Macaca mulatta: one gene and its partner. The protein of the gene in region 2 interacts with the protein of the main gene of each other region in a biochemical or structural test. Links are inferred from orthologs where the notes say so. Each region holds a gene or a part of one and is shown on either strand. Other genes may lie near its edges.

Evidence for each region.
Region 1: the proteins of ESR1 (region 2) and AHR form a complex in vitro, tested with the Homo sapiens proteins (4 studies listed by BioGRID, with this or other methods). The link is inferred for Macaca mulatta from reciprocal best matches to the Homo sapiens genes ESR1 and AHR.

What each region holds. Positions count from the first base shown.
Region 1 is NC_133408.1:110,968,386-110,972,393, forward strand, and holds the start of AHR (aryl hydrocarbon receptor), read right to left. Parts: upstream 2,801-4,008; 5' UTR 2,312-2,800; coding exon of another isoform or gene 2,107-2,311; coding exon 2,042-2,106; intron 1-2,041. Other genes in the region: uncharacterized protein LOC106997514, read left to right, coding at 2,084-2,311. UniProt on the Homo sapiens protein: Ligand-activated transcription factor that enables cells to adapt to changing conditions by sensing compounds from the environment, diet, microbiome and cellular metabolism, and which plays important roles in development, immunity and cancer.
Region 2 is NC_133409.1:70,668,829-70,672,328, reverse strand, and holds part of ESR1 (estrogen receptor), read right to left. Parts: intron 1,811-3,500; coding exon 1,475-1,810; intron 1-1,474.

The DNA of each region.
Region 1 (4,008 bases), on a different chromosome or scaffold from region 2:
AATTCAATATCAAGTTTAATGACTTCATTTCTAAAATAAACTTTGATTTACTGCATTATAAAGTTAACAATTTTTCATTCAGGTAAAAATAATTTATATAAACACTTTCACTTGATAAAGAAAATACCAGCACTAGCCTTTTCTTACAGAGGAAGCTGGTGATATTTAAGGCATTTGTATGATTAGAAGCAATATATGGTGCTCAGTAGAGATCTGATAAACATCTATGCTAACAAAATAAAATGTGGGTGAATGGGAAAAATACTTTTGTTATATTGTAAGAAATTAATACAAGCATATTAAAGACTAAGAAAGTATATTAGGATAATCTAATAAAAAGTACATTTTACGCAAAGTAACTAAAATCCATAAATGTTAAACTGTATAATGAATACAAAATTATGGCATTTGTTTTTGTTTACAAAGCCACCCAGGTCCTTTTATAACACCCTAACTGAAACCCAGTATCTTAAAAACACATCAGGGAAAGCTTCCTGTTTTCTCACTATACACATAAAACCTATGACGTCCCTATTATATATGATGCTAAGTATATTATTGCATTAATAAACACATAGAACAGACATTTGTGATGCCTCCCAACTTTAACCATGAAGGACAATGTCAAATAAGACAAACATACTTTAATATAAGAAATCATTCTACAAAATTAAAAGTATTATAAACCGATGTCTCAAACTGCCAAGGTAGAAAAACTGCTGGTTTGACAACATTCCCTTAAAACACACTCTATCATAAAACTTCCATATTTTAATCAGTCTATTTACAGATTATTATCCTCTGTTAATGCCAATTCACAAGTCTAGTTCTGAAGAACTATGATAACTGAAATTCTGAAAGGAAACTAAAATTTTAGAATGAAACTTTAAACCAATAACTGGTTTTAAATGTAAATCTTAAAGTGTTATTTTTCTGGTTCCCATTAGTGACAGTTGGAGTCTAAGCAAAATGCACACTTCTGATTTGGTCTGAGAGGACGTTTAAGAGTTCTTAAAATTGTTTACGAAAACTTGAAAAACATGCAGGTAAAGCAACTCAGAGATAAAACTAGAAATAAAAAAATTGGAACAAACACATGAATACAACCACCACACAACAGGAAAAGTTTCCAGCACGGATACTTTTTTCTGACACACAAGAAAATAAAGTATTTGCCATCTCACACAAATATTCCACCAAAATCAACTGACAACGACAAAAGCAAGTTTGTACTCACTCAATTAGAACAAAACTTTGAAGGGGAAAATAATTAGAGGTAAATGTTAAGAATGAAAACCACTCTCAAATGCAGTTCTAAATCTTTTATGTTACAGACTCTAAAGCCACCCCAAAAGTGATAAGCAAGCTTCCGAAAAAGATGTCTGAAGAATACAAATCCTCCACCGTATCCTGTCCGTTGCATCCACTCCCACCTGCTACCACGTCTATCCACTTTACCGATATGGTCACGATGAGCGCTACAAAACTGCTGCCAAATAAGTAAATAAGAGCGCAACAGAAAGCCAGTAGGTGGGGACCAAAAAGTACCTTTAGAGGCACTCAGCCCCTTCGTAAAAGTCAGCACGTGTTTAGCTCTTTAAAACATCTCGCCCTACCAAACTCTACCAAGAATGAGAATTAAGACTGTCCTCTAACCTAACGCATGCGGATATTAAAAGTGGAAGGAGATTTCAAGACAGGTTTATACTAACTAATCCATTAGCCCAAGGCAGATCAGAGCTGTCAACAAATCAGGACCAAATCAGAGAGAACAAAGTTACAAATGTGAGAGGGTGTGTATGCACCGGTGCGGGGGAAGAGGATGGGTGGAAGGACAATTTTTAAAATGCAATCATTGAAAACGCGAGAATTCAAGTCCTCGGTCTCCCGACCGGCCTCCAAACCTCGATTCCACGGGCAGTGCCGGGAATGAACCTAATCCTCAGGATCGCAGGGATTTGGGGGCGGGGTGGGGCTGCCTCCCGCACCCGCGTGCCTGTGCGCCCAGCCCCCGCGATGAGGACGCGCTCGGGACACTCACGTTTTCTGCACCGGCTTCCGCCGCTTGCGACTGGCGTAGGTGATGTTGGCGCTGCTGCTGTTCATGGTGCCCAGCCGACGGCGGCGGCTACTCCCCGGGCACTGGCGGCCGGGTCCCCGGGACCTGGTGTCTGCCGGGACGACGGCGGCGGCAGGCGCCGGGTTCCGCGAAGCCGCGCCCGCTCCACCTGCGTCCTCTCCAGACAGTGGCGTGGGCGCTGCGCCTCCGCGCCTCGGCTACCGCAGGCTCCCGCAGCCCGCGCCAGTCCAGGTGAGCTGCCCGGGCCTGGCGCCGAAAGGGGGGGCAAGGGGCGGAGACCCGCGAGCGAGGCGGCGCAGGTGCCGTCTACACCGGCGGAGGCGGCGCGGCAATGCCCGCAGGTGAGGCGGCCCGGGCAGAGGAGGAACCTGGGCCGTCTATTTAGAATCCTGGCCTGGGTCGCTCACGGTGCCGCCGCGCTCCGTGACCGTAGCCGCGGCCCCTTGGGTGAGGGAGGCGCCGCCGCGTTGCTCCCGGGACTTCCCAAATCCTGGGTGCTTCCCGCCTGCGGAGCTCGGGGGCCAGCCACCAGTCCCGGCTGCTCCTAGCTTACGTTCGGCTACACAGCTGCCCCTGGTCTGAGCTGGCGGTCCGGGGCACGCTCTCGGAACAGAGCGTCGAGGGGACTCCCCAGCCGCTGCCTCCCGCCGCCGCGCGCACCGGCTGAATAGCACAAGCACCCCCGACCCCTCACCGGCCCCGCCCCGCCCAGATCCAGCGTAGCCCCGCCCCGTCCTGCTTGCCCCCGCCCATCTGGATTCCATTCCATCTTCCTTGAGGGCCCCACCCTCATCCCGGCACGTGATGACGCAGGACGTAACGACGCCCCCCCGCCGGTAGCCATCTTCGTGCATAGGCAAACTCATTGTAGCTAGACTATACAAAGTATATCAAGATATGCCAAATATAGAGCTTAACTTCGCCTGTTTGAGAGACGGTGGTTCAGCTGACTTGTGGCTAAGAATTACAATTAACTGGTAGACAACCAATGGGACTATATATTTTCCTAGTTGGGGAGGCTTCAGAAGGCCAGATTTCAGTTGAGACTTGCAGGCTAGGGGTTTTCTTGACCTTTTTTGGGGTGGGGGGAAGTCTTTTCAATAGACAGGAAAATAGATAATAAGGGGACTATTATGTGTTGTGTCATGGAGGACAATGTGGAAAAATATTGGGAGTAGTTAACAGTATTGAATGCTGTTGAGAAATTCAAATTAGAGGAGAACTGAAAATGTCATTCTTGTCTTCTCAGTGTGTAGTCATTGATAATTTTCGTGAATGCTGTGTTGGTGGGGTAATGGGCCTGCAAATAACATTGAAGTGGGTACAGGATTGCTGGAGATGATGAAATGGCATCCTCAAGCAGACAATTCTTCCAAGTTTAACTGTGGATGAGAGACACATCAGATGGTATGTAGGGGGAGTGAAGGGTTAAATGAGGGTTTTCTAGTTTTGTTTTGGTTTAGTTCTTTAATGGGTGATACTGAGCAGCTTAGAGGGGTGGAGATAAACTATGTAGGGAACCTGAGGGAACAGTTAAGGAGTGATAGATATTAAGATAGCGAAAGCAGGAGGGAATGAGTGCCAAAGCATAAATGGGAGATTAGGACTAATAGTTTAGATACTAACAGAAACAGCACTTCCAGTACTTTGCTGTTCAGAGTACTCCACAGCTTCTTATGAGAGTTATAAGAAATGCAGACTCTTTGGGTGTCCATATTAAATCAGACCCCGAAGTTCACAAGAACTCCCAGGTGATTCAAATGTACATAAAGTTGGAGGAGCAGTTCTCTACCATAGCTGGAGGAAAGGATGGTGGGTGAAATGTAGTAGGCTACTAAATTTTGGATCAGAAAGATGAAGGAGATGGAACAAAGGGTATTCTAGCATGAGCTACAAAAGAACAACTGTGTTTTGTGGTTGATGATCTT
Region 2 (3,500 bases):
TGACATTGAAAACCTACATTTGCCTATTATTCTCCATGCTTCCATGTAACCTAATAACCACCCAAACCACCAAAATGGTGGCCTCTAACAAGGCTGGGTTCTCGTACTGCTGGCTTCTTATTCTACAGCCCACATGTTTATATGCTGATAGATGCAAATACATGTAAGATTCTCTAAGGCCAGACATAAGTTCACTTGGCCTGTAACACAGCAGTGACCCTTGAAATGCAAGTACAAACTCCACATTTTTTAGTTTCATATTAAACATTTCATGCTTCGTAGGAAACAATTAATTTCATCTATTAAAAGAAACCAAATGAGAAAAACTCCAACTAAATCTATCACTCATTGAGTCTATAAGCCCAGAAAAAAATTTAACTTCCTCTTGCCTTGGTTCATCTACATTAGCTCCTGAATGGATACACTGGGGCAGGGAGAAAGCCATTTTCTAGTCTTGTTTCCATACAGACTTGAGTTCTTCTCCCTGAACAACAGGAGTAACAGTCCAATTTTACTATAACACCAGTTCTGAGAGAATCAGCTGAAGGAACAAGATATCACTTCAGCCACTGCGTCTTTCTAAAAGTTTCTTTCAGGGATGATACCTTAATTTATTTTTCCACTGCCTTTCTCTTTCTGCTAAAATACTAAGCATACACCAGGTTGGATAAATAATTGGCATTCAGTAAGTAAACTTATTATTATCTCTTTAATCCATAAAGATCTTTCTTAACTTTTTTTTTTGGTGTTTATTTTTTGAGACATGGTCTTGCTCTGTCACCCAGGCTGGGGTGCAGTGGCACTCCACAGAAACACGGTTCACTGTAGCTCCAACCTCCTGGACTCAAGCCATCCTCTCACCTCAGCCTCCCCAGTAGCTGGGACCACAGGTGTCTGCCACTGCACCCAGGTAATTTTTAAAAATTTTTTGTAGAGACAGGGTTTCGCCACATTGCCCTGGCTGGCCTCAAGTTCCTGGGCTCAAGCAATCCTCCCACTTCAGCCCCAAAAAGTGCTAGGATTACAGGCATGAGCCACCACACCCAATCTTAACAATCTTTTTAAGATAACATTGTTTTATTAATAATTGAGATGTTTTGAACAAAGGTCATTAATATTAAGAACTTTTGTAGATCATTTAGTGTTACAAGTTTCTGCGAATGTGAACATATACTATCAAATAGTTTTATCATGTAGTGTCCACCCTAAATCTTTCTGGTAAATAAGATGGGTTAAAAATAAATTATGTCAATTTAAAAATTTTAGTCTTCTGGATTTTTATTTTAAAATATTATTTCCTAATCTCCAGAAAAATTACAGTGTATTGATACTGAAAATGAACACATCTCCTATAACCTTGAAACCTATTACATAACGTGTTATTGCTTCTTTTTTCCCCACTATTTCTCCCATGACATCACAACCAGTTCTTGAAAAGCTATTGACTCTTAAAAGTTGAGCTTCGCATTCTTACCTGGCACCCTCTTTGCCCAGTTGATCATGTGAACCAGCTCCCTGTCTGCCAGGTTGGTCAGTAAGCCCATCATCGAAGCTTCACTGAAGGGTCTGGTAGGATCATACTCGGAATAGAGTATAGGGGGCTCAGCATCCAGCAAGGCACTGACCATCTGGTCGGCCGTCAGGGACAAGGCCGGGCTGTTCTTCTTAGAGTGCTTGATCATGAGCGGGCTTGGCCAAAGGTTGGCAGCTCTCATGTCTCCAGCGGACCCCACTTCACCCCTGCCCTCCCCATCATCTCTCTGGCGCTTGTGTTTCAACATTCTCCCTCCTCTTCGGTCTTTTCGTATCCCTGAAAACACAGGGGGAAGAAAAAACAATTAGTTTATTTTTTTCCCATGTAAACTTTTATACAAAAAATTTTCAAAGCTAACCGTCTTTCATTTTATTTGAAGAAATACTTTCAAGCACAGGTGAGCTGGTAAGTGTTTAACAAGTGGCTCTCCAAGAGAAGAAGAAAAAGACTTCTATTTGTAGCAGTTGCCAATTTTCATGGTGTAAATACTGCCACCATAACAAACTTCAGGCCACTTGTCTGACATCAAATGGCTTACAAAACTCCTGAAAATTGAACAGTAGGCTTTGGTGAGCCCGTACAAACTGACTCTGACACACCAGGTAGGGGTGTGTGTAGGTAATGAGTGTTATAAAAAGAACAAAATTCTAATTTTAGTTATTCTTAAAATATGATTTAGCATCAAAGACTACTTCTGCTAGGAATATTCTTTTAATAGTAAATTAAAAGGGCATTTTTAAAAGCATTTAGTCCAAGTAGACTTCTTAATGGGCAAGACTAAATAAGAATGACTTGCTCGTAAGGTATATTACAGCCTCTGGCCCCCTGGGGTGCTAAGTCCTTCACTGCTGCTAACCTGCTCCTCATCACCCTAGGATTACCACAAGTCCCTCAAGTCGTTTACTGGATTTTAAGCTTTTCACAAATGTGTTTGTTTTTTCCTAACATAAAAGTTGTAAACTTCTAAAAAGAGTTTGTTTTATTTGATAATTTCCCCCCAAAGGTTTACCCAGCTGTGGTTCTCACTAACTAAATTATGAAATGGGGTGAAGAGGGGTGATCCAATCTTTTTGCAGTGATTCTTTGAGGTTTGGGCTCAGCACCTTAACCTGAAAAAGGCCATACTGTGCTGCCGAAATGTATTAACATCTGCCAAAAACAACTATTTTAAAAAGACAAAGAGCTTCTATATTTTCAAAACAGTTAATCTCTCCAATATTTATCAGACAGCAATAATTCTTAGATTTAAATGAAGGAAGCAATCATTTTGATACAAAGTTAATACAACTATTTTTAATACCAAAGACATGAGAAATAAATGCTCTTTATAACATATCACTTGTTCTATCACTTTATAACAAATAACTAGTGTGAGAACTTTGTCTTGTTTTGTTTTAATTTGTAAACGTATTTGGACAAATGTGTAACTGAAATATATATATATATGTTTTATACATATAAATATATATATATAATATATTAAATGACACTTCAAAAACATAGAGAAGCCATGAACTCTTCCTATTTGCTCAGTATTAAAATAAGCATTTCTCATGAAATAGTAAACATTATAATAAAGATTATTATTAGTAATATGCATTCAGAACTTACTACATATTTTAAGCATTTACATACACTTTACATGGAAACACTTTAGAACTAATTTAGTTCTCACAATAATCTTGTAAGTTTGAGAAACCGTTACTTAAAGAGATGATCCAACTTGTACAAGATCATTCTCTATTAAGTATGATTCCAGATTCTGGCTCTGAAAAGAAGTTTGCTTTTGTTTTCAGTTAAGCAGAGATTTTGAATTTAATCTATTATGTAGGTACAAATTGAACAAGTTTCAGGACACTATGTAGGTACTAACTTAACAAACTGAGGGACATCTAAAAGTAAAAGATGAGAACAATGGCACCTGACCAGCCATTGTCCTTGGTCAGGCATTTCAACTTTTATTGCC